Linked DNA regions of Canis lupus familiaris. The protein of the gene in region 3 interacts with the protein of the main gene of each other region in a pairwise test. Links are inferred from orthologs where the notes say so. Each region holds a gene or a part of one and is shown on either strand. Other genes may lie near its edges.

Evidence for each region.
Region 1: the proteins of MAGED1 (region 3) and RBFOX2 interact in binary tests that used the Homo sapiens proteins (3 or more experiments, as listed by UniProt). The two-hybrid records come from large-scale screens. The link is inferred for Canis lupus familiaris from reciprocal best matches to the Homo sapiens genes MAGED1 and RBFOX2.
Region 2: the proteins of MAGED1 (region 3) and CA8 interact in binary tests that used the Homo sapiens proteins (3 or more experiments, as listed by UniProt). The two-hybrid records come from large-scale screens. The link is inferred for Canis lupus familiaris from reciprocal best matches to the Homo sapiens genes MAGED1 and CA8.
Region 4: the proteins of MAGED1 (region 3) and SMAP2 interact in binary tests that used the Homo sapiens proteins (3 or more experiments, as listed by UniProt). The two-hybrid records come from large-scale screens. The link is inferred for Canis lupus familiaris from reciprocal best matches to the Homo sapiens genes MAGED1 and SMAP2.
Region 5: the proteins of MAGED1 (region 3) and PITX1 interact in binary tests that used the Homo sapiens proteins (3 or more experiments, as listed by UniProt). The link is inferred for Canis lupus familiaris from reciprocal best matches to the Homo sapiens genes MAGED1 and PITX1.
Region 6: the proteins of MAGED1 (region 3) and BHLHE40 interact in binary tests that used the Homo sapiens proteins (3 or more experiments, as listed by UniProt). The two-hybrid records come from large-scale screens. The link is inferred for Canis lupus familiaris from reciprocal best matches to the Homo sapiens genes MAGED1 and BHLHE40.
Region 7: the proteins of MAGED1 (region 3) and KPNA2 interact in binary tests that used the Homo sapiens proteins (3 or more experiments, as listed by UniProt). The two-hybrid records come from large-scale screens. The link is inferred for Canis lupus familiaris from reciprocal best matches to the Homo sapiens genes MAGED1 and KPNA2.

Annotation. Positions count from the first base shown.
Region 1 is NC_049231.1:29,471,574-29,475,796, reverse strand, and holds part of RBFOX2 (RNA binding protein fox-1 homolog 2), read right to left. Parts: intron 1,301-4,223; coding exon 1,247-1,300; intron 1,128-1,246; coding exon 1,035-1,127; intron 1-1,034. UniProt on the Homo sapiens protein: RNA-binding protein that regulates alternative splicing events by binding to 5'-UGCAUGU-3' elements. Prevents binding of U2AF2 to the 3'-splice site.
Region 2 is NC_049250.1:11,250,855-11,255,789, forward strand, and holds the start of CA8 (carbonic anhydrase-related protein), read right to left. Parts: upstream 3,091-4,935; 5' UTR 3,038-3,090; coding exon 2,938-3,037; intron 1,983-2,937; coding exon 1,791-1,982; intron 1-1,790. UniProt on the Homo sapiens protein: Does not have a carbonic anhydrase catalytic activity.
Region 3 is NC_049260.1:44,812,224-44,815,419, reverse strand, and holds the end of MAGED1 (melanoma-associated antigen D1), read right to left. Parts: intron 3,085-3,196; coding exon 3,022-3,084; intron 2,233-3,021; coding exon 2,118-2,232; intron 1,871-2,117; coding exon 1,493-1,870; 3' UTR 1,485-1,492; intron 1,280-1,484; 3' UTR 1,070-1,279; downstream 1-1,069. UniProt on the Homo sapiens protein: Involved in the apoptotic response after nerve growth factor (NGF) binding in neuronal cells. Inhibits cell cycle progression, and facilitates NGFR-mediated apoptosis. May act as a regulator of the function of DLX family members.
Region 4 is NC_049236.1:2,651,364-2,655,586, reverse strand, and holds part of SMAP2 (stromal membrane-associated protein 2), read left to right. Parts: intron 1-1,133; coding exon 1,134-1,219; intron 1,220-2,202; coding exon 2,203-2,281; intron 2,282-4,223.
Region 5 is NC_049232.1:23,086,330-23,091,188, forward strand, and holds the start of PITX1 (pituitary homeobox 1), read right to left. Parts: upstream 3,265-4,859; 5' UTR 3,173-3,264; coding exon 3,007-3,172; intron 771-3,006; coding exon 538-770; intron 1-537. UniProt on the Homo sapiens protein: Sequence-specific transcription factor that binds gene promoters and activates their transcription. May play a role in the development of anterior structures, and in particular, the brain and facies and in specifying the identity or structure of hindlimb.
Region 6 is NC_049241.1:12,717,097-12,720,967, reverse strand, and holds the end of BHLHE40 (class E basic helix-loop-helix protein 40), read left to right. Parts: intron 1-518; coding exon 519-1,375; 3' UTR 1,376-2,868; downstream 2,869-3,871. UniProt on the Homo sapiens protein: Transcriptional repressor involved in the regulation of the circadian rhythm by negatively regulating the activity of the clock genes and clock-controlled genes.
Region 7 is NC_049230.1:14,375,574-14,379,673, forward strand, and holds the end of KPNA2 (importin subunit alpha-1), read left to right. Parts: coding exon 1-149; intron 150-1,745; coding exon 1,746-1,895; intron 1,896-2,740; coding exon 2,741-2,833; 3' UTR 2,834-3,087; downstream 3,088-4,100.

The DNA.
Region 1 (4,223 bases), on a different chromosome or scaffold from region 3:
ACTTGCTTTGAACCAATTCCAGGAAAGGTTGGAAGAGATTATCACATCTTTTCTGAGAAAGAAACTGAGAGACCCAATATGCAAAAACTAATGATGCATGCTCCGTTCATCATCCAATCTTGAGTGAGTTTACTCTGCTCCTTCACAATTCTGGCCTTTACAATGCAAGCTGGTGAGAAAGAGGTCAAGAAGCTCTGAGGACTACTGCCGTAGTAAGAGACAAGACTTTTAATTTCTGCAGGCAGTTTAAATTGTTGATATTAATTCTTTAACTGGCCAATTATTAATCTTATTTTCACATGTTGTTATGTGCACTTAATAATTATTCTTCATAAGAGCAGTCTTTTGTGTTTGTATGTGGTGCTAACCTCCAAGGCATACAATAATCTTTAGATATTTCATTAGTCCATTTTATTCTTTTATCTAAAATGTTTTAATCCAGAAATGTTAGGGGAGAGGAAAACGACTTCTCCCTTGTAATCCTGTGGCCTTCAGAGAGGCAGAAAGTTTCTAAAGGTCTATTTTAAATGTGCTATCCTCTGGAAAGCACACAGAGACATTTATTCCATGTTCACTGAACTCTTTTTAATTATACCTTGCTAGAGCAAAATGGCTCAGGTCAGAATGACTTCAGAGGTATCAACAGAGGGAGAATAATCATTAATGCTGGAGGTGCTTCTAAATGATACTCTACTAAAAAGCCCAAAGCTGACCTGCAGAGAACATGCATATTATATTCCACAAGTATCTATTTCTTTGGTTTTAAAATCAAGTGCAGACTAAAATGTTCTACACATGTCCTCAATCCCCTTGACCTTTTCCAACTATTTATGCTTCGTGGCAATCTCAGTATCTGGTCAGAAAGATTCTTACACAGGTTAAGCAGGATGGGACACTGTGACAGCATTTAACTCTCTTGAGAAGGCCTCCTCCTCAGTTATATATTATACTTGGGGAAGAAGAAAAAGACTAGGACACATCACTGTTTACTCACAACAGTCAAAATCCATGCCAGGCCAACATAGGCTACTTACTGATTAAAGGAATGTAAGTGTTAATACCCCCTCTTCCTGATAGGGGCACTGCTGCATCATTGCCTAGGGACACGTCTGCTTGAAAGCTGGATGCTGATTGCATTTAAAAAAATTAAAAAAAATGCAAAAAGATTACAAAGGAATAGTAGATCGAAAACCAACAGATGTTGTCATGGTCAATAGGCCAAATGGAAAAATTAATGAAATACTACCTGCATATAACTCAGGGCCATATACAGCTCCAACTACGGGGCTTAATTTCCAACCTGCAATGGAAGAGAGGACAGAGAGCATTTAAGACTCCATGAGGAAAAGGTGTGATGAGGGCATGTGAAAGCTGGCTCCAGACATCCCTGCATTTAAGCTCCACCCAACACTATCTTCTCTGTAGACGCCAGCTGATGGGTCACTTCCACACCTGAGCATCTTTAAGCAGAACAAGCACAGTGAAGGGATAATAAGGGGGGGTGGGTGTTGCAGGTATAGGGGCAAATGGGGAGGAGAAAAACTGGGTGGGAGGAAAGAGAAGGACAAAGAAATGTAAGAAATAAAAGTAAATCCTGGGCTCTGGTTTCGTCTCTTTCATAGAACTGCTTAGAACATATTCTTTGAAAAAAAAATTCTTTGTTTTTAGAAAAATGAGAAAGGCAGAATATATGTCATTGTACACCACACTGTGATGCACTTTCTTATTCATCATCTTCACACTGTTTACTACTCTCACTGCTTTATAAAGGTATATTCTGAATTTAAATTTGAGCTGATCTTTGACTCTGTTCAATTATACCATACTGATGGAAATCTAGGTAAGTGAAAATCCCCTTTCTTTGGGATTTACCAATGGAATTTCGGTGCAGTTATCCTCAGCCAAGTGAACAAGAAGAGACACTCAGTAATAAAATTCAAGGTACATCCCCAATTTCATGCATTTTTTGGGATTTTAAGTGGTAATAAACATACTTAATTAGTTGTTTTAGCTAAAGGATACTAGACTGCTGTTGAGTACCAACCTAAGCATTTATAAACTTTAAGTACTTGCAAACATTAGGTTTGGTGTCAACTTTATTTCTTCATCCCCCTTTTTCATATTTATAGAAATATAGCAGACGTTAAAAAGAGAAAAATGTACTACTGCCCATTGATAGTTAAGGAGTAGAATTTCTTTTTTTTTTTTAAAGATTTTATTTATTTATTCATGAAAGACACATAGAGAAAGGCAGAGACACAGGCAGAAGGAGAAGCAGGCTCCATGGAGGGAGCCTGACGCGGGACTTGATCCCAGCACTCGAGGATCATGCCCTGACCCAAAGGCAGGCGCTAAACCGCTGAGCCACTCAGGGATCCCCAAGGAGTAGAATTTCATATGAAAACTTTAATCAATAGACTTTTATTGAATTTTACACAAATAAGCAAACATACTCCATTATTTTTCTTAAAGACTGGAGACAGTATTCAAGAGAAAACTCATTCATCCTGAACCAATCTAACCCCCGTTCATTATTTTATGTGCTCATAGATGGTGAACACATGATTTTACATAAAAATTGGGCAAATACCTCAGTTCAAATGTTACTGGAGTTGTAAGAACACAAATGTTCTACAATGTCAGACAAATCAAGTGATTCCAACCAATGTAAACTAAATCGCTGAGACTTCACTAGAAGGCATCTAGCGCACTCTTTTCAGAAGCTTTAAACCACAAGCAGCTGTTGGTCTCTCAAGTTTGGCTTGGTTAGGCTTGAGTATTAATTTAGAATAATATTTTAAAAAATGACTTTTTTCTTCCTGCAAATGGCACCATTACTTAAGCATTCCCTTAAGTATATTACATATTTTAATAATGGTATGTAATGGTATGCTGTCAATAATACTTTGAGTACGTTTAGTTTTTTTTTTGTATGTTTGGTTTTGTACAAATTTACAATGTATTTTGACCTTCACAAAACCCAAGGGGAGAGGTAAGATAGGTACCACATCTGGGACAATGAATAAGTACTATACTTCTTTGGGCTTAATTTCCTAAATAATAAGCTAAGAGAGGGCTGGATTTTGATGACTTCTATAGAGGCTTCAGGTGCTAAAATTCTGTGATCACCAATTAAGAGAGATGAAAACAGAATCAGGTTAAAAAGATTGGTCCACTGACAGAGTAAAATGAGTCAAATCTAGAAGTAGAATTTCTGTCTTCTCAATTCTAGTCAGTGACTCTTTCTACCACAGCATTCTCCCTGGATCTAAAGGAAATGTAACTTTGCCTCTCCTTCCTATTTTGTTTACATGAGTTATTATCAAAATTGCAGAAACTTGTTTTTGTTATGGGCATTGAAAAAAAAAAAACAAGAGGTAAAGGGGGAGGCAGTGGTATCACAAGATAGACCATTGATAAATGGGTAGGCAAAATGTAAATTATGCTGATAAATGCAAATTATGCTGATTTGTACCATCTGTTTGAGAAGCTGGGCTAAATCTATCTATTGGAGACATCATGGAATATACTAAGATTCTTACACTTGATTTTAGGACATTACCAGCAAATACAATACTTATCTAAGCAGTAGATTCAAACTTTTATTTTTTTTTTTTATTATTTTTTTTTTTTAAGATTTATTTATTTATGATAGACATAGAGAGATAGAGAGAGAGAGAGGCAGACACAGGAGGAGGGAGAAGCAGGCTCCATGCCGGGAGCCTGACGCGGGATTCGATCCCGGACTCCAGGATCACGCCCTGGGCCAAAGGCAGGCGCCAAACCGCTGCGCCACCCAGGGATCCCAGATTCAAACTTTTAAAAAGCAGAAAATATCCCATTTGATTCTAGATAAAATTTCATGCAGAGCCCCAATATATATGACACAGGAGTTGCTGCAGGCCTCAAGACCCAACCCATGGGTTTCCTTTCCACCCTTCCCCTAGAGGCCCTGCAGAACACAGCTGGCAAAACCACTGCTGCACTGCAGATTCAAAGTAAATTCTTTTTTTAAAAAACTATTTATTTATTTATTCATGAGAGACAGAGAGAGAGAGAGAGAGTGAGAGAGAGAGGCAAAGACACAGGCAGAGGGAGAAGCAGGCTCCATGCAGGGAGCCTGACGTGGGACTCGATCCTCGGTCTCCAGGATCACACCCTGGGCTGAAGGTGGCGCTAAACCGCTGGGCCACCGGGGCTGCCCTCAAAGTAAATTCTATCTC
Region 2 (4,935 bases), on a different chromosome or scaffold from region 3:
CTGAAAAGGTGGAAACAACAAAGAAGAAATTATTCCAGCAGCATGAGGGAGACAGGACATCTAAAGGGGCAAGCTGTCTAAGGAGGCAGGAGTAAGGTGTCTGGAACATGTGTATCCAAGTTAGGCTGAGACAGACAAGAGACCTCTTCCCTACTGGTCAGGGGTGGAGGATAGAGGAGACTGCAAGGGAAAACCATATGATCAGAGAGTCGAGGCACTGCTAGATAGTCTGTTTTGGGGATGAGAGAGGGGGCCGAGGAAAATCATGAATGTTTGAGAAGGTACCAGAAGGAAATGTTAAATTCAAGTTGGTCGAGTTAATTGGATCCTAGTGCAGAGAGTATTTGTACTCAGTCATTCCTCCATGCTTCCATATTTCATAACATTTTCATAACATATTTACACTAGTATTTTAAAGGATTGTATTTTCACTAAACTATGACTCCTCAAGAATAGTCTTGTGCATTTGTATGCAACCAATACCCACTCACCATGGTGCCTGATGTGAAATGCATTTTTGTTTTATAGATACATAAATGTTTATTTCCAGAAATACAAAGGCATGTCAACACAACAGTACACATATATTACATCAATATGCTTTTTATAAGCCAAGACAGCCAATATTTAATAATTTAACTATATAGTTTAAAATAAAGCATAATGGTCCCTGACTGATAGCTCCCCCACAAAAAAAAAAAAAAAAAAAAAATCTTATTTGAGTTCAAATTTACAACTGAACGGGTCTCTCTCTCTCTTTGACTCCATAGAGTAACACCTAGAATCTGTTTTGGATGATGCTCATACTTTGACTAAACTCAGAACATCAGGGAAGACTACATGATTCTATGACTAGCTTCGTGGATTCTAAATTAAAGTTCAGGAACATTCACAATGAATTTTGTAAGAAAAATTCCATAGTTGGAAATCAATGACTACTCTGTTTCAAATAATAAACCTAAAGATTTTATGGTTTGAAATATCAAGTCATTGATTCAGAATTAATTTAAGCATAGGTGATCTCTGGTTCAATTAGTACTTTCTAGTATTTCAACATACTCTAATTTTATATTCTGTCCAAGAGAGAAATCCCACAATTCACTAAGTATAACATTAATTCTAATTTTTAAAAAATTCTTCTTTCTTCTCCTCTACATTTATGCCAATTTCCAACACCTTTTCCACAAAACATTTCAAATCCATCTCAAACAGGCTCAAAGGAGAGGAGAGCTAAAAATAAATAAATACTAATATGAGTTCTGTTGGCCATTTAAATCTTTAACCAAGTTTAGAGGAGATTTTTGATTGCTATTAGTTAAAATTCTTCTTGCCACGTTAATACAGTAAAGAAAATTAATTTGAGAAGTCTATCTGGAATGCCAGATTATGTCCGTAAATCCTGATCTTTAGTTTCACAAAGTAGTGAAACAGAACATTATCATTTTCTGAATGAATTAAACTAATCAACAGTTTAGGACAAAATACAGATTAGTACATTCGCATATACTTTTCCTCAAATCCCACAAAGTTTAAGTTGATCAACTAAGGTTGTTCCAGCAACATCATATAACACAGAACCACCAAACTACCACCGTCGTAATTTCATCCTTTTATCCTTTCAAAAATGTTTTAGAAATTAATTCCAAAAAATGCACCTTATAGTACATTAAGCTATCCTGATATTGGTACCATGTTTATTCTACCTTTAAAGTCATACAAGCCAAATCAATTCAACAGCTCCAGGAGGACTTCTAATTTACAAAGACATGCAAAAGCATCTTCTAATATACCTGATTTTGACTTCAGGATAACCTGAATGGTATGTCCATCGTTGGTGACTTCGCAGTCTCGGCACACCACATAATTTGGGGAAAGGCGGACATCCAGCAGTGAGGGGTCATATCTAGCTTCTCTTGAGTTTAAGTTAATGGGAGACTGGTATTCCCCATTAGCATCAGGAAACACCAAGCCCCACTCAACACCTAAGCACAAAATGAAGCAAATTTAGAACAGGTTTTAGAAAGTTCCAGTAAAGTTTAACATGTAGAAGCTAGTTTAGACACTGTTTATGATCCTTGACATTGTTAAAAGTTGTGACTATTGTCTGTTTATAGATGAAATGTGCCAAATGGGTATGAATTTCTGCATTCATATTTTCAGCGATCTAGTACCATATACAAAATCGTGTACTAACAAAATATTCCATTCGTATTTGTCCACGTGGACGTAATAATTTACGACCCTGGGAAATTTAGGTCATCTTTAAGGGCTCAAAAAAGAATTCATAGTTCCACAACAATTTCCTCTGCTCGTTCGTTCAACTACTGGGAAATAGCTGAAACTCTGAATTTGCTTGATAAGAGCCAAAAACCGTAAATCTGTGGCTAGTGCATAAACACCTCTTATCAGAGATGCAAATTTTGAAGCGGGTCTATGCATATGTACGCACACCGATATGTTCTTGAAGCGTGTACGTATATCCTCTTGCCATATTTTATGACTAAAGTCATAAATTCCACATTCGTGCCTGCAGCAGCACCAGGGGCCAAATCTCTCAGGAGTCCTACATCGCCCGGGGTAAATGGAGCCCAGAGAACTTTTTAAGAGTCACCCCCCTCGGGCCAACCCCACTGATGCAGCTTGCGATTCAGGACTCCTCTGGAAGCGGAGCGTCGCCAGCATCCTCGGCCCGGAGCCGCGGCCGCAGTCACCCCGGGCGCCCAAAGGTGCGGGCGAAACGCGACGCCGCCTCCGGGGCCCTCGGTGCGGGGCCGGCCCCGAGCTCGCGGCAAGGCCGGGCTCCCGGGGCGAACCGCCGCCTGCGATCCCCCACGGGCCGGGCGGGGCCGGGGGCGCACGTGGGGAGCAGGGGCGCGGCGGCGCACGGAGCGGGGGAGCCGCGGGGACCCCGCCACCCCGCCTGCCGCGGCCGGTTACCTTCCTCGTAGCCCCACTCCACCCCCTCCTCCTCCTCCTCTTCATCCTCCTCCTTCTCCGGGAAGGCGACGGAATCCTCGATGAAGCTCAGGTCAGCCATGGGCAGGCCGAGGGTCCCCGGGGCGCCCCCGCGGGGAAGCGTGCAGGGCTGGGGGTGCGCGCGGGCGGGGCGCGCCGAGCGGAGCCGCGGGACAGCGCGGGCGGGGCGGGGGGCCGGGGCCGGGGGGCTCGGGGCGGGGGCTCGGGGCGGGGGGCTCGGGGCGGGGGGCTCGGGGCGGGGGCGCGTCCCGACTCCCGGGGAGCGCGAGCCGAGCCGCGGCGCGGGCAGCGGCGGCCGCGGCTTATAAACCCGGCCGGGGCGTGTCTGGCGCGGGAGGACCCGCCCCTGCGCTCGGCGGCCCCCGCGCGGGGCTGCACCGGGGGGAGCGGCCCCGGGCTACCGGCTACCCCGGCCCGGGAGCGCCCCGCTGCCCGCTGCCCGCTGCCCGCTGCCCGCTCCCGGCTCACCTGCCCCGAGTCGCCCGCCGCCCGCCCCCAGGACCCCGGTGCGCGGGCCCTCGACCCGGGGCTTGCCACCTTATCTGCTTTCGGCTTTACTGCAGGAAATACAAAAAAAAAAAAAAAAAAAAGCCGACGGGCGAGTCCGCGGGGAGAGAGATTCATTGCCACGGGTAGGAGAAAAGAGAGGGCTGGAAGGACCCCGTAAGTTTTCCACTCTGGATTTTTATCACTGGCTACTTACTTTATAATTCGTCCTTAGAGGACAGTGGAAAGGAGCATGGAAAAATTTCCCAGAAACTTGTCCTTCCTAAAACATGTAAGACAAAATTGTTTTAGAGAAGTAGATACTATTTGGGTTTTGGCTTTTTGGATTTTTTTTTTCCGTAAAAAAAAATTTTGTTTTTTTTTTTACCTGAAAAGCAAGAGGAGTGGAAAGCAAAACAGAAAGGGCGTTTGGTTTTAGTTGCGGAGTCTGGGTGCTGCTGCAGGCACAGCTTGCTGTGTACACAGTTCCCAAAGGCCTAGTGAAATCGTGTAAATAATGAAATGCACACATTGCATAACAAACAGGAACTTTCCTGATCAAAGAGGTCGCATTGTTACCTCTTAAACATGTACCCAGTGACTTAATGCCTTCTGCCCCCTGTTTCAATGCGTTTTAAAAGCCCCAAGCTGAAAACCCCTGAGCAAGTTTACTCTGCATTTTTAGAAGGTGTATATATGTAATAAGCTCAGATTTGGACCTTAAGCGAAATTTGTTTTTATATGCTCCGTGCACGCACCAAAATGTCTGTTAGCAGTTCGAATAGCCAGTTCCTAAATCACACCATCTGTATGAATGCTTAAATCCTTATAGAAGGATGGAGATTCTCCTCCTGGGGATTTTTAGGTTCTGTGCTCCTAATCTTCACTGCCTGCTCAGCCCTCCACTTTTTAAAAAAGCCACCTAACAGGTTATTAGAAATTAGCCCAGAAAGAGAGTTGGGATTGAAGGGGGAGGGCGGGGGGCAGCTCAAATCACTCAATTCTGACACTTTCTGGAACATTCAGCAAAATAGATGAAAACTATTGGTCAGCTTTAGCTTTGAGGGTTCGAAGCATTCATTAAAAAAAAAATGTTTCCCCTTAAGATAGAGACTAGAAAGTCTACCATTATGAGGACTTGAGCCACAGTCTAAGGGAGATGAAATTCATTCTTCACTCACTGCCTTTTGGGTGTTGTTTAGTGGATACCCTCTCTCCTCTGCTCCCTAATAAGCCTGAGATTGACAGAAGGGTAAGTCTACCCTAAAGCTATCATTTTTAAAAGTAATAAGCACTACCCAAAGTATTAACCATTTTTATTGAAGTTCTTCTAAAAGGAACATTTCACTTTTCCCATTGTTGAAAACTTTTTCACAATCTTGAAATGTTCATTAAAGTCTCTTTCTAGAAGGATATTCACACATGAATCAAATGCTGCAGCTAATGGAATCTGTAGAAAATAATAAAATCATT
Region 3 (3,196 bases):
ACATCACTCCAGAATCTGAGGAAACCCTGGACACTGTCCCTTCCCACTCTCGAGACCTTCCCAGGAGGCTAAATTACCTTTGCTCTTGCTTTTTTCTACCCTGGGAGCTCCTGTTTCTGCCCTTGCCCACATGCTTAAGTATCACCAAGCCTCTGAGGAATTTATGGCCTAGGCCTAATTTCATCCTCAGAGTTCTAGTGAAGACTTCAGTAGCTCAAGCCAGGTCCTTGTTCACAGTAACACTGAAAGGCAGTCTAGCTTTACATAAAACCATAAAACCTTGCCCGTCTTACTTTCTCAATTCTTATTCTCTAAGCGATAAAGATTCCTTTCTCCCTGCAGGAGGAGAGAAGAGGCCAATGTGAGGTTTCCTTCACTATCCATAAGAACTTGTCTCTGTGATGAGGCCCTGGTCCTGTTGTGGGGGGCAGGGCAGGGGGATTGTGAGGGCTTTCTAGAGGGACAAGTTCCTGGGTAGCATTTCCAGAGATGAAGGGGGCCCTATGAGCCCATCTCTTTATGGGCAATGTGACTAGGAGTATGAGATCTTCCTTTTCACACAGGAGACTCCAGCACCTGGATCACAGTGTTCTCTGTTCCTCCTCTTGCCCCCATCCTGGAGTTGTTTCACTTTCCACATACAACCAACACCCTAGAATCTCAGGAGATGCATCACCAGAAACAGTTATCTTCACTCCCCTTCAACCACCCACTCTCTGGACTTTGTCATTAACTGGGGTTCCACCTCCTCTGCCTTCTTAAATTCAACTGTCTGACCACCTACACCCTGTCTCTCATCTCTTTAAGCATCATCACTCCAGGACTCCTAGCAGCCTATCACATGAGTTCCTGAGGTAATATTTCTAAGGTAAACTATACTGGTTCTTGGACCTCATTAACACTTGTGTTCATTACTTCCTCCTTTGTTTTCCAATCCATTAACGGAATCTACCCATATTTTTACCAATTGAAAGCTAATCTGCCCCTCAGGCTAGAAGTGAGGCGCTCTCTTTCCCATATAAACAAGTCAATCTCTCCCCAATGTGTTAAAAACAGAGAGCACACGTAATTCACTTTGCAGTTTCAACGTTTATTTCTGATACCAAAACTTGACAGCACACAAGGGGAAAAAAAGCAACAGACAAGGAACAGCAAATAAATTTATCTTGCATGCCACTTTCAGTCAACAGGATGTGGCTCTCTAGATAGCTGTGTTTAGAAGGAATCTGAGGCTTCAGCCTCACTCAGGGGAAAGACTATTGCAACTGATTAGCAATATCTGTGAACATAAGAAAGAAAAAAACCCAAATAATCAGTGATATATATCAAATAGTAAGAAATATACCAAGTATATGCTTCCCTATACTTCCCTCACCTCCCCACCATGGGTTTTCTAGGACTCCCAGGTTGTGACATAAACACATTCCCATGGACCCTGTATCTCCCGATAACCCTAACTGCCCAAACCAAAGTGATATACCTACCCAACATCTCACTCAACCCAGAAGAAACCAATGGCACCAAAGTTGGCAGCAAAGTTGGTGCTGGCTGTACCACCAGGGCCAATAATGGGGCCAGTGAAGGTCTGAGGAAATCGGGAGCGGGCATTCTGGTGGTATCTGGCCCAGAAGGTAAATGGGATTCTAGACCAGGGATCGCCAAAATCTCCTTCCTCATCCCAGGTCAGCAGCTCAAATTCAATGTCATCCCAGCTCCAGGGCCCAGATACGGCCTCATCTCCAATCCCCATGCGGGTTCTCGCCTCAGCCCGGGCCTCAGCCTCAGCTGCAGCAGCATCCAGAGCATCCAAGGCCTCATCTGCAGCCTCCATGAACTGTGCAGTCCAGTCACGAGGATCTCTTTTCTGAACCTGAGATGAAGAACAGAAAATAGAAAATAAAACAAAACCCGTAATAATGGGAGTTAATATTTATGAAGCACTTGCTATATATTTAGTGCCCTACTTTGTGCTACTATTTACGTAACAGCAACAATCAATACCACCAGTAATGCAGTACCACGTGCAGTATCTAAGGTCTTATCCCTGCTCTGGACCCTTTCCAGCCAGCCACACCTCATCTTTTGACCTATCAAGTCTGGAGCAGTTCCTCTATTACCTCTGCAATGAATCTCAGCACTTTCATCTTGCTAGTTTCATGGTAGGAACGGAGGCCCCAGAGGAACTCATACTCAGGAGGGTTGCTGTTGGGCACTCGTCTGTAATCCAGGTACCTTAGAGCAGAAAGGTCTTTGTTTCTACCCAAGAAAGAACAGTAGTCCAACAATACATAATACTCTATTTTGATACCCCCAATTTCAGGTAGCAATCCCACCCAGATAGTAGTCCAACAATGCATAATACTCTATTTTGATACCCCCAATTTCAGGTAGCAATCCCACCCAGACTCATTCTTAAACCTAGCTTAATTATATTCTTTTTTAAATTTATTTTTTTAAAGTAGGCTCCATACTTGAGGCTTGAACTCACGACCCTGAGATCAAGACCTGAGCTGAGATCGAATCAGACACTTAACCAACTGAGTCACCCAGCTGCCCCATAAACCTAGCTTAATTATATTCTAATAGTCAGGCCTTCAAATTCCTGTACCAGTGCTTCTACATTAAGCAGTCACCTAAAACTGCAGGGTGGCTTATATAGGGTCATAGAAAGGGCAACACTTAATCTCTCCCCTTGTGTCACAGCTCTAGCTCCATGTTCTTGTAATCTTGTTATTGAGCCACAGTTGGCCCATTGCAATGATTACTATGCAATGTAAACCTCAGCCTTGGAAATGTCTACTGTGGGTATAGTGGACAGACTTCACCTGCAAGATAACTATAATACTGCAGAAAAATCCAACCACAAGCAGGGATACTCAATAAACACTTCCAAGTATGTATGTGTTTTTCTATGGGGATATATAGGTATAGTGTAAGAAATGAGCATAGTAAGGACTGTCTGAGGCTGACTAGCACACAGAACTCATGAAGACCAGAAAAAAACCCTTAGACATCACTTACTTTTGTTTTACAAACTCATAAGTGAGAAGTTTCCTCAGATCTCCAAGAAGAGGATGTCTCACACTGATAGTATAAAAAAAAGAAACCCATAATCAAAGACTATGACATTGCCCAAAGAAAAGAAAAGAGCTTTCTAGTGGAGATCAGAGATGAGAGGAGAGGCATAGAGTTCAGA
Region 4 (4,223 bases), on a different chromosome or scaffold from region 3:
CTTATGTCAGGTTTTTATACCTTAATAGAGAATTTTTTTCCTTTTTCTATTTAAGATATGAGTTTATTCCACCCATATTTTACCTTCTTCAGAACACAAAGTCTGTGGTCTAGGACTCCGTGAATATACCCCCAATGTCTAAAGGGGATCTTTGGATTATTTTCTAAGGCCCCTGGCATTTGCAGATCTAACATTTGTAGTTTTAGATAGTCACACACAAATCCTCCAACTTACAGACATAATATTTTATTGCTAAAACGTGTATGTGAATCTTGCATGCTGTTAGGTTGGTGGGCTGGGAGTAAGACACGTAAGTTAGTCTAGCGGACTTAAGATCTGCACCTCTACATGGCTTCATTTTTCTCTATTCTCTTCCTGCATAGAAACTTTTAGAAGTAATTAAAACTTTTTTTTTCTTTTTTGAGAAGTGGGGATGGGAGAAAGGGTCCAAAGAAAACAGTTGCTAAAGTTGGTGATAGAAATAAGAGGTTATTCTTAGCTAGAAAATGGCTTTAGAAATTAAATTACATTAGGCTGCTTTTATAGATTCACTAAAAGTCTAAAAGATTAGTTATATTTTTCAGTTATACTTTATCTTATGAAGGAATTTACATGCCATGGAGGTATTTGGGAATTTGAAAATTTTAAAAACCTTGGGATTTGCCCCTCACAAGTGTTAAGGAGTCTATTTCAAAGGCCAAATGGGAAACACATTTATTGGTAATAAAGCTGAATAGTTTAATTAATAGTATAAACTCAAAATTGTAGTTATTGCTCAATTATTGCCTGCCTGATTAGGTACTGATTATTGCCTATCAAGTAGACATTTTAATTGGTAGTTATGTGTCTTGGGGTTTGAAATGGGGTCTTGAATTATTACTGAATTAAATGTATCCTGTCAGACAAATTTTTCAATAAAAAGAACTAAGGTGGAGGGGGCAGGAAGGACAACCATGAGGGCAAATGATTGGTAATAGAGACCATCGTGGGCTAGAAATCAGAGTATGCACATAGATCTTGGTTCTGCCACTGTCAGGTTGGTTCTTCAGTTATAAAATGCTGCAGTTGGGCGAGAAACTTTTCAAGTCTTTCCTCACCTGACGTTCCATGTTTCCACATCTCTCTGATTGCAGTGCATGCAAGAGATGGGGAATGGAAAGGCAAACCGACTTTATGAAGCCTACCTTCCTGAGACTTTTCGCCGACCTCAAATAGACCCGTATCTTTTTTGGAGCAAGTTAGAAGGCTGAGTGGTATTTTGGTGTTTTGGGAGAGTCACACAAGACTCAAGCCCCTTGATCTGCCTGGGCCCTCTCTATGTGGTTTAGTCAAAGTCTTGCTTTTCCCTTTCCTGCCACCAACACATACAAAAAGTATACTTTCTAATGTCGGAATAGTGCTGTCACACGAGGAAGACTCGCTCAGGAATTAAGACTGTAGTGGTTCACTGTGAATTCTCCCATAAAGTGACATCTCTGATAGTTTTTGGATCTTTGAAACTATTGTGTGTTAAAAGAATAGATTACTGTGCTGTATTGAATCAGCAAAACTACCATTCACTTTTTAATGCCTTTTCTATGTTCTGTGTGAAAGAATGAACTATTATTGACTAGTTAGTAACTTTCTTCCCTCATCCTTTCAACAGGGGATAGCGCCCTACTCACAAAACCAAACCTCCTAAAGGCAGTGCTTCTCTAAATGTGGTTTATAGACTGTCTTGTTAGAGTTTGCTTTTTTGTTGGGTGCAGGTGGAACCTGTTAAAATGCAGATTTGGGACCCTGCAGAAGACACACCAATCAGAATCTGGTAGCGGGGCACAAGGGTTTATAGTTTTAAGGGGTACTCAAGTGCATTTATTTAAGGCCTGTTGACCTAAAGACTTTAAAATAGATAATTTCCTGCTTTACCTGTATTCTAGAAGAGCCACAGGTTCCTCTTATGTCATTATGAAGACTAATCCCATTTGCTGCTGTGATTATCCTGAAGGAAACTCATAGGAAGTAGTGATTCCCTGCAGTAACCATGAAGGAGGCATTTTAAAGTTTTGGTCAGGGAACTGCATGTGAAGAAATACAGGAGCCATATGGAGAAACCAGCCAGGAGGGAGAGAGAGAACAACATTCCATTGAATACAGATCGACCTGTGATAGTCATACTGTGGGAAAGATTTGTTTGATTTACCCTTAATAAGCTTTTTCCAGAGCTGTCGAGGGATTTATTCGGGATAAATATGAGAAGAAGAAATACATGGACCGAAGTTTGGACATCAATGCCTTTAGGGTTGGTTATAAATCTTTCAAGCTTTGCTCAAAATGAGTAATTTGCTTTACATCAGGCCAGGGAAGAATTTGAGAAGTGCTACCAAAATACTCCAAAAACATTAAAAAAAAAAAAAAGTAGAAAGAAAGCCAGTTACTGAATCAAGACTACAAGATATCATGGAACAGACTTTCATGTCAGGGATGGAGAGGGAAAACCATCAGTGAGTTCTTTGCCTTGGTTTGTATTTAGGTTTAGTGATTCCCAGTTCCAGATTATTTCTTCAAATGGACACGTTGGCCATACTAGATCAAACAGTAATATGTGTGTATGTATGTGTATAAATGTGTGTGTATATATGTATTTTTATCTGTAAATGAAGTCTACAAAATTAACTAAATCATCAGAGTTTTCTTCAGTTTGACCAGCATATATTTCCAGTGTGTTGATGGACTAATTGCCAATGGGACCCTATTCCTGAGAAGGGTTTTAAAAGGGGACTACCACTTTCCATCTTAGGCATGTGGTTAGAATCTGAAATACAGAGTCTGGTAACTAGGACAAGTATAATATACAGGAGGAAATACAAATTATTCCTGGAAGAAGAAAAGGTGCCTGGCTAATGACAACTAAAGAGTTGCCAATATGACGACCTAAGAAAGCCTTTAGTAAGATTCTACAGTAAATTTGCTTAGGAATAATTGACTATTTCTTTAGCTTTAAAAGTACAGAGAGTATAGGATTATCCAGTTCTAGCAAGTCTTATCTACCTACCTACCTACTACCTATTTATCTATCAATCATCTATCTTGTTTTGTATTTTAACAGAGGATATACAGGCCTCTAAGTCCTTCCAGGTAACTTAAAGTCAAACTAATTGGAATCTGCTCCAGATTGATCTTTAGGCTGTGAAAAGGGGCATCAACTGGTAGGTGAGTTTCAATGTAGGCAAGTAGGTGCAAGGTAGTACATTTAGTTAGGTAAAGATAATTCCTTCCCAACTTAGTGTGAAGGACTCTTACTTCATAGTCATCCAGAAAAGGGACGTGGAATTTGTCATAACTGTTCTGTGAAATAATCAACCCAGTGTACAGCCACAGCTTGGATGGCATCATCAGAAAAGTTTGGAACCAAAGCACACACATTTCCTTTGCTTTGTAGAAAACTGTGATCTGTTTGCTTAGCTTTTGTTCATTGTACCAAAAGATATGAAATCACAACGAGGTCAGAAAAGAGTATCTGAGATAATCCAAAAGATGAGGGAGGAGGAAGGAGTTGCCAAATGAAGATAGTGTCCATTCATAATTATGTTGCAGGTGTACTGTACCCATGTAAACAGCCTGTTCTACTCACTGCATATTTTCACTTAGGAAAGAAATAGCTCCTGTTTACCAAAAAGCTTTTCCAAGAATTTTTTATTTAGTGTACTTAGTTTCTAAAAATATTCTTGTGAAGATTTATATGCCAAGAATTAATATTTGCTAAGTGAAGACAGTTAATATCAAATTGAAAAAAAGTGGCTCTGTTAATTAGAGTATTATTTTTAAATGGACAGTAAAGCATTTTTAACTTCAAGAAATAAAGTGGAAAATCCATGTCTACCTTTATAATCTTTACCAGTGATTATCACTTTGGTGTATTCCCTCTTTTTTGTAGTTACTTTTAGGAGGCATAATTATATAGTTATAACTATTATTTTCATTCAATTTAGCATATCCTGTATTTTTATGTTACTTATGTAGCATTCATCACTTTAATTTTTTTATTTATTCATGAGAGAGAGAGAGAGAGACAGAGGCAGAAGCAGAGGCAGAGGGAGAAGCAGGCTCCATGCAGGGAGCCTGATGCGGGACTTGATCATGGGTCTCCAGGATCAGGCCCTGGGCTGAAGGCAGGTGCTGAACCGCTGAGCCACCCAGGCTGCCCTTCATTATAACTTTGAATTGTTGCATCCTCCAGTGAG
Region 5 (4,859 bases), on a different chromosome or scaffold from region 3:
CCAGTCAGGTGGGGACTGTGCTGAGCTTCTGCAGAAGCAGGCTATGATTGGGACCACTGCCCCAGGAGGTTCTGAGACCTGCAAGCCTAGGTACCCTTCAGGCCTCTGCCAGGTTGCCAGGCAAGACCTGCCTTTCCCTTTCGTTTTTGGGGGAAGGCGGCCCGCAGCTCCGAGGGCCCCCTTGGCGGGGAATCCTCCGTGCAGTCTAGGGTGTTAACATCCGCATGGGGTCTGGGCCCTGCAGGGCAGGGGAAATTCCCATGGGGCCACAGATCTTGGGGTGAGGCTGCAGTAGAGCCTGAGGGTCACTAGGATAGGCCAGGCGACAGCCGCCGAAGGCTCTAACCACCAAAGGGCACAGCAGGAGCCGCCGGAACACCCGGAACACCCGGGCCTAAAGCTGAATCCTCCTCTCCGGTGGAGAGTGGTGGGACGGAGACAAAGTCTGAGCGCCGGTCTAAAGCTTTTGGAGGGCTGCGGCAGAGCCGGCCAGGAGCGGTCCGCACGGGTCCCCTTGGGCGCGCACGCTGGGCTCACCCTCACGCGCGGCTCCGTGAGGTTGGTCCACACAGCGATCTCCTCCCGCATGCTCATGTCGGGGTAGCGGTTCCTCTGGAACGTGGCCTCCAGCTCTTGCAACTGCTGGCTTGTGAAGTGCGTGCGTTGCCGCCGTTGCTTCTTTTTCTTGGCGGGGTCCTCCGCGCCACCGCAGCCTGCGCCTCCCGCACCGCTGTCCTCCGGCCCCTTGACTTCCCCGCCGCGCTCCTTCTCTGAATCGGGCAGGACAGGCCCTAGTCACCTTGGGTTTATGCCCTTTCGCACCCCGTCCCGGCTCCACCGAAGCGCCAGCCATCAGCGCTGGCGGCCCTTCCTCCCGCCAGGAACCCTAGTTTTGTTCCCGCTGGAAAGAGCCTGTCGGGTGCCTGATCCTCACTAGTCACCTTTGGTCGGACGGCCCCGAAGAGCCAGGGAACCCGAGGCTCCGGCCTAGGTTCCCCACTGGGCAGGGCCTGCCCTTGCAGCTCGGCTCAGGCTCAAGCCCTACTGCCTATGTCGCCCGCAAATGTATGAAATTTTGAGGGCTTTTAGGCATTTAAATCTGGGGGTGTCTCTGCTCTTCTGAACTGATATCAAATCTGGCTAGCCTGAAGCCAGTGGGTCGGTGGAGCAGGAGCCAGGCGGTAACCTGCAGCCCCTCTACTTTCTTCTCCCCAGGGCTGTGTGGGAGCCACATTGGGCAGGCACAACACAGCTGTGTTCTCAGCCTTAGCTCCAGGCCTCAAGTCCAGAGGCCCAGAAAAGCCCTCAGGCGGCAGCCCAGACCCACACACTCTGTCTAGGTGACCTGGGGCTCTAGCCTCTCGCTCTCTCAGGGTACACAAAACACATTCAGTCATAGACACATTGAAACAAACAAACAAAAAAATTAAAAACAAAATACAGAAGCCCAGATAAACTCAATTCTATCCCAACACCATGGAAAGGCTCACAAACTATTAAAAATAGGCAGGTAGGAACACAGAGCAAATGCAAATTAAGAAGCAAGAAACCTCCGTGCAAACAGACCCCTAACTAAATACAGTGCTGTACGCGTATAAACTCCAGGCAGACGCGGGCATTTATTTCTCCGGGATAAAAAAAAAAACAACTTAATGTACTGTTGTAGATAGATTTTTTTTTAGCCCCTTCCTAATAATGCCCTTCTAGGGATAGTCTTTAAGTCGCAGGGAAATACAACACTATAGTTAGATAAATTACCAAACTAACACTGCTGCAAATGGATTTTGAAAAAAAAAATCCCGGAGAAACGCGCCATTTTGGATTGACTTTTAAAAATCTCCAAGAATAATGCTGCATGTGGATGTTTTAAATTCCAGAGAAATATGCCTCGCGTAGTGATTCTTTCTATATCGAAAAACACAGTTAAAAAATTTAATATATCCTCACGGAGTTGGTTTTAAAAAGCAATCGCTCGCTGTATATTTCTCCAGATTTTAAAAAGTAAAAACCAACCAAAGGCCACGCTTCAAACTTTTGAAAACAAAAGTACAGTCCAGCGTGGATTGCTTTTCTTAGCCAAGCAAACAGAACCTCTCAGAGAAAGTCACTTAGAGATGCAAAACAGAAACAAATAGAGATTAAAAACGCGTAGAGAAACACTCAGCGGTGGATTAAGAAAAAAGCACAGCGGAGGCGCCCACGACCCGGGGAACAGGGCGCCCGGCGGGACGGGGAGCGCGGGATCCGAGCGGGAGACCCGGGGGCGCGAGCGGCCGAGGATCCGCCGCGCCACCGCCCGCACCGCCCACCCGCCGGCCCCGCTCGCGGCCAGCTTGCGGGGGAGCAGCCTGAGTTCGGGGGGCAAAACGGCGGCGCGGAGGGAGACGCGCCCCAGCCGAGCCGGGCCCTGGCCGGGCGGCCTGGCGGCTCCCGGGTCCCTCCACGAGGGGGGCCTGCCCGCCAGCTGAGCCGCACCTCTTGGCCCGCTCGCCCTCGCTGCCCTCTTTTTTTTTACTTGAGGTGGTCCCCCCTTCCCCGCAGTCTGTTTCTCTGACTTTTCCCGCCACCCCTTCTCTTGGATTTCTCCCTCTCCATCCGTGCCCACCGCCTGTCGGGGTGTGTGACCCCGTCTCCCTGCGCAGCGTCTCTCGCCCGCCGCCCCGTTCCTCTCTCCACCTACTGTCCTGCGGTCTGAGCGGCCCCCTGGGCACTCGTTGCGCAAACCGAATTCTTTTTCTTCCGGCTCCGTCTGCTCCCGATCAAGAGGGGCTGTCGGGCCGACCCTCCCGTGGTCGGTGCCTGCATCTGCCGGGGTCTGGGCGCGTGGGCACCGGCTGGGAGCAGAGCACGGAATTCCGTCTCATCAAGCGCGCAGATTTCCGCGCTCCCGGTCCGACGGAGGCCGGGAGAAGAGGTCCCGGAGCTCGCGGGGCTCGGGCAACCTGAGCGTGCGGCGCGGGCGCCAGGCCCCGCTCCCCGCCCCGCGCCGGGCCGAGCCGCGCTTACCTGGCAGCTCCGTGTCGGACGACTCGCTGGCGGAGTTCTCGAGCGGCTCGCGGGGGTCGGCGGCGCGGGCCAGGTGGAAGGCCGGCCCCATGTCGTGCGGCGGCGGCGGCGGCCGGAGCCCCTCCGGCAGCCGCTCCAGGCTCATGCCCCCCTTGAAGGCGTCCATGGAGGCGGGGACCGCGGCGGGCGCTCCCGGGGCCGGGGCCGGGGCCGGGGCCGGGGCCGGGGCCGGGGCCGGGCGCGCCCGGCCGCCCTGGCTGCGACCTGCGGGGACAAGAGCACAGCGCCTAAGCGGCTGCCCCCCAGGGCTGCCCGGGCCCGCAGCGACGCCGCGCCCGCCCCATGGACCGCCCGGGGCTGCGGGGCCGGGCGGGCGGCGGCGGCAGCGGTTTCTCGCGACCGGATCCCCGGCTTCGCGCTCCGCGCTGCGCTCCCGCCGCTCGGGCCTCTGCCGCCCGCCCGGCCCCGGCTCCGGCTCCCGATCCGGGGCCGGTTTCTAAGGCTCCGTACGGCGCCGGCAGAGGCTGTCTTAAAGCGACAGCGCGCACCGCCAGGTTCCAGCAGTCCCTGCGCCAGGGGTGGTGGGTGGGGTGGGCCCGGGTGGGAGGGGGCTGGGGAGGGGGGAGGGAGGGAGGGAAGGAGGGAGGGAGGGAGGGAGGGAGCCGGCGAGCGAGGGAGCGCGGGCGGAATCCGGCCCCGAGCCGCCCGCCCTCCCCCGGCCGTGCCCTCCCCCTCCCCCTCCCGTCCCCTCCCGTCCCCCTCCCCCGCCGCAGCCACCTTCCCGCCGCCTCCCGCCCCCTCCCCCCACCCCCCGCGGCCTCGCCGCGCCGCGCCGCTCCCTCCTTCCCCGTTGACACACCGACTTCTCCCTCGGCCGCACAAAAGAAACGCATCTGGTCTCCAAGTCCCGCGCGGCTCGTGCCCACCTCCAGCCCCAGATGACTTGTTTTGCGCAGAATCAACTCCTGTCTGGGCCGCCTCGAAGTCCTCAGCCCCCGGCGAGAACAGCCCAGGACGAGAGAATGTTCCCGGGGCAGGATCGCACGGAGCGGGCGCCTCCGAGCCAGCGCCAGGGCGGGGGCAGAGCCCGGGGCCCGTTCCGGCAGCTCCCGGCGGCGTCCCCGTCGGGGGGCCGCTGGCCCCTCCTTCCTCGGCCTCTTCTCCCGGGACCTGAGCCCGGCTGAGTGACAGCAGCCTGCGTTCTAATGGGCCCCCGGATGCTGCCTCCTAATTAGCTTGGACCCTGTCGTCCAAGGCTGCTTCTCTGGCCTCCCCCTCTGCACCGCAGTCAATTTTCCGGGATTGGGATTGAACTGATGGCTTCTAATCAGACGAAACGTTTCTGTTGGCTCCAGGCCTCTGGCGAGTGCAGCAGGAGACCCCGAGAGCCCCGCCAGGCCCCACAGCCTCTTCTGCAGGGCTCTCTTCCCTTGTTTTGCACCAGTCCAGCCGAATCAGCCAGGCCCCGGCCTTGGCAGCCAGGGGGTTGGCTTCTGCCCCCTTCAGGGCAGGTTTGTAGCGATCTGGGGCCTCCTCTGGGCTTTCCAGAGCTGCAGGCACCTGGCCTCGCGAGCAGGCCAGGTGCCTGCAGTTTCCCAGCCCGGAGTCCGCAGTCCAGGAAGCCTACCGCCTTTGAGCTTCTCTCTCTCACACAGCAGTAGCTGAGCGGCAGCACCGCCGAGGCCTCCTGGGGGCAGACACCGCCCGGCCCCTCCCCACCTCTGAGAATGATCCCCTTCTGGAATCCTCCTATGACAGTGAAGTTTGTTGAAGGATTTTGCCGAACAATTGTTAACCAGCCCCGAGACCTCAGAGTCTTGAATAAATAGACGGCAGCTAGGGTGGTAGGGTGC
Region 6 (3,871 bases), on a different chromosome or scaffold from region 3:
ACGTGGAAAAGGCTTAGAAAGAGCTTTGAAATTTAAAGATTCCAGCACAATTGCAACTTTTTAAATTGAAAATAAGCTAACGTAGGTGACATCATTCCTTTATTCTTTATCGCATTCTATGACTGGTCCTGTCCAATCTTGCTCTGGTAAGAGCATCCTCTAAACATATGAGGATGTTCACTGCTGAGTCGCTTATAATGAAAACTCAAGAATGAGCTATAAATTCAATGAGCGAAAATAGTCCATCTCTATTAATTATGTTCTGTTTCTATGATTGGGTTATTATGCAGCCATTATAGCTCATATTTGACCTGTAAGTGGTAAGATAGTGGATTATTTTTGTTCTATTATTTATACTTTTCAGTGTAATCCAAAATTTTCCCGATCGTATTACTTTTGGAGTTAGGAACACAAAGTCAGCAAGTGCTGTTAACCGAAAGGAAAGCTCCCGGGTGTAGGTATCCAGGTGAACCACGGGACCTTCTGAAATGTCTTCCTTTGGATCTGTGTTGATCCAGGTGAGCTGTCGGGGAGAAATGTTGAAGCAGGTCAAGAGATGTTCTGCTCAGGTTTCCAGACGTGTGCCCGGGAGGTGCTTCAGTACCTGGCCAAGCATGAGAACACTCGGGACCTGAAGTCTTCACAGCTAGTCACCCACCTTCACCGTGTGGTCTCAGAGCTGCTGCAGGGGGGGACCTCCAGGAAACCATCAGACCCGGCTCCCAAAGCCATGGACTTCAAGGAGAAACCCAGCTCCCTGGCCAAAGGCTCTGAAGGCCCCGGGAAAAACTGTGTGCCGGTCATCCAGCGGACTTTTGCTCACTCGAGTGGGGAGCAGAGTGGCAGTGACACGGACACAGACAGTGGCTACGGAGGAGAATCAGAGAAGGGTGACTTGCGTGGTGAGCAGCAGTACTTCAAAAGCGATCATGGACGCAGGTTCACCATGGGAGAAAGGATCGGTGTTATTAAGCAAGAATCTGAAGAACCCCCAACAAAAAAGAGCAGGATGCAGCTCTCAGATGATGAAGGCCACTTCACTGGCAGTGACCTGATCAGCTCCCCATTCCTGGGCCCACACCCACACCAGCCTCCCTTCTGTCTGCCCTTCTATCTCATCCCGCCGTCAGCGACTGCCTACTTGCCCATGCTGGAGAAGTGCTGGTATCCCACCTCCGTCCCAGTGTTATACCCGGGCCTCAACGCCTCCGCCGCAGCCCTCACCAGCTTCATGAACCCAGACAAGATCTCAGCCCCCTTGCTCATGCCTCAGAGACTCCCTTCTCCCTTGCCAGCCCATCCGGCCATCGACTCTTCTGCCCTGCTCCAAGCTTTGAAGCAGATCCCCCCTTTAAACTTAGAAACCAAAGACTAGGGGACCTTGCCGCACTGCTTTCCTTCCTCCCTACTTCCCCCTCCCCCCTCAAAAAAGAAAGTGTGACTGCAGCAAGATTGTTCTAGTGTGTATGCTGAGATAATCTGAGGCATGGAGAGAAGATTTTTGGGGTCCCTGTGTGCGTGTGTGTATCTGTGTGCGCGTGCGTGCGCCTGCGCTCGCGTGCATCGTGTGCTGGTATAGGACATTAAAGCTCCTTTTGGCGTAGGGAAGATATGAAGGATTGCCTGACATCAGGAGACTTAGGGGGGATTGTAGCAGATCTCTGGGCTTTCCCCCACCCGGAGAATAGCCCCCTCAGATACATCCAAATCAGCTGGATTTTCAAAAGCTTCAAAGTCTTGGTCTGTGAGTCAGTCTTCGTTTTGGGAGCCGGGTCTGTGGCTTTGAGAGAAAGGTACTTTCAAAAGAGGGCTTTCCAGAGCGCAGTTCCCAGCCAGCTCTAATGACCCCACCCTTCTCCCTTTATTGTTGCGGTGACTCACCGAAAGGGGAGAGGGCAGCCACACTGAGCTTTCTGCTAAGTGGTGAGGTAGCAGACACTGGCATAGCACGGTAGTGGTTTGGGGAGATTTCTGCAGGTCTGCTCCCCACCCGCTGCTGCCTTCTCCGGTGAATAAAGAGAATGTAGTTCCCTTCTCAGGCTTTCGTAGTGATTAGCTTAATAAGGAACTGAAAAGGGCCCCCTGGTCAAGCTGAGCTGCCAAGGAATGAGGGAGGAGGCCCCAGGGCCTCTGGTGCCTATTCCTAGGTCTCACCTAGAAAATGATCTTGCTGTCCCAGGAACCAGAGCAGGGTCTGCGAGATGCAGGTGCCTATGCTGCAGTCATCCCCAAAATGCATAAAGCCAAGTAACAAATTGCTACCTTCAACGAGCAGAGCTAGACTCAGTTTTCAGTTCTATCCTAAAACTCCTTTACCAAGCTTAGCTTAAAGGCCTAACCAGCTCTTGGCACAGCAAGATCCTTTCTGCAGGCTAATTCCCCTCGCCCGACGGCATAGGGAGTGTCCTTATTGCTAAAAAGGATTCTGTCTCCTTCAAAGAAGTTTTATTTTTGGTCCAGAGTACTTGTTTTCCGACTCATCCAGCTAGCCCTGCACCAGCTTTTTGAAATGCACTATGCTTGATCGCCGATCGTGTTTTAACTTTTTCTTTTCCTGTTTTTATTTTGGTATAAAGTCATTGCCTTTATTTGTAAAACTGTTATAAATATATATTATATAAATATATTAAAAAGGAAAATGTTTCAGATGTTTATTTGTATAATTACTTGATCTACAAAGTGAGAAAAATGAATGTATTCCTGTTTTTGAAGAGAAGAATAATTTTTTTCTCTAGGGAGAGGTACAGTGTTTATATTTTGGAGCCTTCCTGAAGGTGTGAAATTGTAAATATTTTTATCTATGAGTCAATGTTAAGTAGTTGTTTTAAAATACTTAATAAAATAATCCTTTTCCTGTGGAAGAGAAAAGATGGTCTTTTGCATTTTTTTAGAATGCCCCAGTTGTGTGATACGGCTGTCTTCTTCCCTCCCCTCTTGGCTGGAGGCAACAACTAGTTAATCTTGGCGTCATTTCATTCAGCTTTTTATGTGCCTTGTATTCAGACAGAATAAACTTGGTCAATTTCATGGTAAATATTTGTTTAAATTTTTTTTTTTTAACTAACGGTTGCTAAAGTTCATGGCCACCCTGCGCCTCCTTCCAGCATTAGGCAAAAAAAAGTACATTGTCCCTGTCCCCCCAACCCCAGCCTGCTTTTGTCATGATCCTTAGAGCTTGACAGAAAATCAAATTATAGAATCGTTGGGCCTTAGGATCTGGGGAGCTTGCTGGAGGGGTAGGCACATGGAGAAAAGATTTAATGGATTATTATGCAATAATAATTGGTGCTGGGGATAGCATCCTCTGCCAAGCCAGTCTAACTTTTTTGAGTCTAGCAAAGTCTAATGGATTTGCCATATCCTGTCTTATTGCTGCTGAAGGCAACATTCCATAATTATTTTCTACATCCTTCCTGGACTTCCTCTCGTTGGGTGTGTTTGTGCGTGAATGAATATTGGTGTTCCTTAGTCAAGTGCTCTTATGAAGAAAAAAAATTTCCATGGGAAAAGAAGTGGGAAATGACCGGGTCGAGTATTTTTGCCTCTCCCCTTCTCCCCATCAGGGATGTCCCTGCTGGCCAGTGCCTGGCTTGCCATGCTTCAGATCCCCAAGTATCTGAGTCCTCTGGGAACCCTCTGGATGTCTGCAGCCTGAGCAGGGAACCTGCCCCCAGGGAGTTCCCAGCCAGGCAAAGGCACCACCTGCCCCTCATGACTTTGCTTCAGATGTCGCCTTCACTGTCTCCTGACCAGCCAGCCAGCAGGTGAGAGCGAGCATTGCCTGGCTGTGTGAGATGCGGAATGCATACTCTGAAGGACGGAGTTCTCTCCAGGCAGCATGGCACCACGGAAGGAGCACCGCACTGGGAGT
Region 7 (4,100 bases), on a different chromosome or scaffold from region 3:
CTGTGACCAACTATACAAGTGGTGGAACAGTTGAACAGATTGTATACCTCGTTCATTGTGGCATAATAGAACCATTGATGAACCTCTTAACTGCAAAAGATACCAAAATTATTCTGGTTATTCTAGATGCCATTTCAAACATCTTTCAGGTAAGTTATAAGGTAGCATTTGAACTTGGCCTTGATGGTAATGGATGATATTTTAACCCACGGGAGGGCAGCTAAGTTTGCTCAGTAGGCCACAGAATTAGAAAGGCTGCTTATGTGGGCCACACTCTTGGTAAGACGTGACAAGGGATTATAAGAGATTTAAAGGAGATGACAAGGGGATGACCTGAATTTAAATCAAGTCCATATGTGGACACAATTCATTCCTATCTATTTTGTCAGAAATCTTTAATTCTTCAATGTCCTACTGAATTATGGTGAAATTAAATTTTGATGACTTAGTTATCCATTTTATTTTTTTTCTGATTCCCTTCCTAATTGACCCGAGCATGCTAGCATATGACACTTTGTCACAGTGGTTGGGGATAGGTAGGTCCTACCTAATGACTTTAAACTTCTGATTATGGAAATTCTACCTAGAAGAGTCTAGAATAATGATGCTTGGTGTATCTGTCACCCAGCATAAATAAATTGTCAACATTTGGCCTATTTTTCTACTCCTTCTTACCTAAACCCTCTAAATTATTTTGAAGCAAATAAATTATTTAATCTGTAAAAATTTATGTATCCTAAAATTTGAAGACTTTAAAACCACAATGTCATTTTTATACCTAATAAATTCTTGATTATCAGTAAGTAATCCAATCAGGGATGTTTATTTTTATACACCTTAGGCCATCTTTGTCCTTAGACGATGGTTCTCTACCTTGACTACACTTTGATGTTATCAGAGGTGCTTTTTAAAAAAGATTTTTTCTTTCATTCATTCATTCATTCATTTATTCATTCATTTATGAACCTGAGCATGTGTGGCAGGGGCAAAGGGGGAGGGAGAGAGAATCTCAGCAGACTCCATGCTGAGAGTGGAGCCCAAAATGGAGCTCAGTCCCACAACCCCTGAGACCATGACCTGAGCTGAAACCAAGAGTCAGATGCTTAACTGGCTTGAGCTACCCAGGCACCCCTGAGGTGCTTTTATAAAACAGTAATATTCTGTTCCCATCAAAGACCAAACTTGGTTATGGTAACATTTTTATTTTTTTTTATTTTTGTTTTTTTTTAAACTTTCTTTTTTTTTAATTTTTTATTAATTTAATTTATTTATTTATTGAGAGAGAGAGAGAGAGAATGGCTGGGACACAGGCAGAGGGAGAAGCAGGCTCCATGCAGGGAACCTGATGTGGGTCTCTATCCCGGATTTCCAGGATCACACCCCAGGCTGCAGGCGGCGCTAAACCGCTGCACCACCGGGGCTGCCTGGTTATGATAACATTTTTAAAGTTGCCCAGGTGATTTTGATTCATAGAAATGATTTGAGACCTACTGTAAGATCTAGCTGAGAGCTACAGAAGTAGTTGTTAAGAACAAGTATAGATCTGATCACCTTGAATTTTTTGAAAATGTAAACTGGAAATAAAACCATCTCATAGGGTTGTTGAAGGAACTTTAAAGTGGTTGTCTGAGATCCATCAATACCCAAACATAAACACGGTTTTCCTTTTTTTTTTTTTTTTTTTCACGGTTTTCATTAAAATAGAACATTCAGTAAATTCCACTAAACTTGGATATTTTTTTTAGGCTGCTGAGAAACTAGGTGAAACTGAGAAACTTAGTATAATGATTGAAGAATGTGGGGGTTTGGACAAAATTGAAGCTCTACAAAACCATGAAAACGAGTCTGTGTACAAAGCTTCATTAAACTTGATTGAGAAGTATTTCTCTGTAGAGGTGAGTAACATGGTAAAGTTAACAAGAATTTGGAAAATACACAAAGTCAAGCCCATAAGATTTTTTTCTTCCTTATACTTTTTAAATGAGCCCTGTGACCTTGTTAAATATGGCAAAATATCAGTGTGAGTAGGACATAATGTATATATATATTTTGCTTCTTAAATATTTGGCTTGATGATCATATAATCTTTAGAAATTAAAAAAAATTTTTTAAAAATTACCCCTCTTTCTTTAGAATGAACAGTCTTAAGGACTTTAGAGTATCTTGAGAGTAAGTTTGTATAGGAGATGATGGAAAAGTGGGCCAACCCCACTGCCATCTTCTGGGGCTAATAGGCCATCTTCCCATTTCCTTTTTTTTTTTTTTTTTTTAATTTTTTTTTAATTTATTTGTGATAGTCACAGAGAGAGAGAGAGAATGAGGCAGAGACACAGGCAGAGGGAGAAGCAGGCTCCATGCACCGGGAGCCTGACGTGGGATTCGATCCCGGGTCTCCAGGATCGCGCCCTGGGCCAAAGGCAGGCGCCAAACCGCTGCGCCACCCAGGGATCCCCATCTTCCCATTTCCTATGGAAAAGTGACAGGTGGGGAAGAAAGTCTGCTGTGGTAGCATTCCTTAGTCCATTCGGAATCTTCCATCTCCCAGGCGCTCCTGAATTGGCAAGTTTTCAGCAGCTTTCCCTCCACTATTTCAAATACTGAAATATGGTACGGCATTGATTAGTATAATATGCAGATGAAGACCTTAAGAGTAAATAGAGACTTCTAGGCAGGCTACTTCCTAGAAATGTGCTATGTGTGTGAAATTATATTGTTTGGTTTTGTTTTTTAATACTTCCAGGAAGAGGAAGATCAGAATGTTGTGCCCGAAACTACCTCTGAAGGCTATACATTCCAAGTTCAGGATGGCACTCCTGGGACCTTTAACTTTTAGATTGTACAGCTGAGACAGAAAGTTGTTTGTTGTGTACTGTTTGGTAGAAGTTTGTCTTACTGTTTCTCTACTAAGAACTCTTTTTAAATGTGTTTTGTTATTGTAGCACTTTTTACAACGAAACTATACTTGACCAGTTCTGAACTGTACAAACTGTATGAAGCTCCTCCTCTCAGTGGGTTGCTTATTTCTATGTGGAATCTTCTATCTTACAGTGTCCTGTAAATAAAGATTAAATTCCACCCTTTTCTCTACCTCACCGTTCCTATGCATTACTTTCTAATTTGGAGTTCTTAAGATTGCAGATGAAGGGTGACAGAACCAAACCAATGTGACCAACCAGAGGTGTAATTCTGGTGGCAGATGACATTTGATATCAGGTTTGTGATGTCCTCAAAGATAAAGGAGTCATAACTCTTCTGCCCACTTCTGAGCTCTGGGTTTGCTCTAGGCTGCTTCCATTCTTTGTCAGTAATGGCTGTTGGCACTTGCAGCTTCATATCCACTATACTCCAGCCAGAATAGAATTTTTCAGAAGTTTGCATAAGAAAATGAACAGAATTTCCCAGAAGGCTTCAGCCAATATCTCCTTTAAATCTCACTGGCCAGGGAGTGAGAGTGAGGCCAGGGAGTGAGGCTCCTTGCATGGAGCCTGCTTCTCCCTCTGCCTGTGTCTCTCATGAATAAATAAAATAAAAAAAATATATATATATACATATATACATACACATATTCTACACATATATGTATGTGTGTATATGTATGCATATTAATCATAATTAGGATGTTTATATATACGTGTGTGTAATATATACATGTACATAAAATTTAATATATATACACATGTGTATATATATATTTATTTATTTATATATATAAAATTAGAAGTCTCAAGCTACAAGTAGAATTCATTCCTCCCAAACTTCAAGGCTGAACATGGTTTCAAAGCTGTTGGCATCACCTGGAAAGTTTACCCACAAATTCTGTTTAATTGGTAAGGGGTGGGGTCCCAGTATCTGATATTTTAATTTTAATCCCCATACATTCTTCCTGTACAGTCCAGGTTGGAAGGCACTAATCTAAGGAATAGTTACTATTAGCAGCATAGGAAATGGGCTTGGGGGAAGGAGAAGGGAGGGTTAATAAGGAGCCCCACTAGTCCTAAGGACAAATGAAATGCACCTTAAAAGCACTACTGTCTTTTTCCTTTGATTCATGGAAAAGTAATGAGCCAAGCCTCCACTGCTGATATTGGACAGCTTTGCCT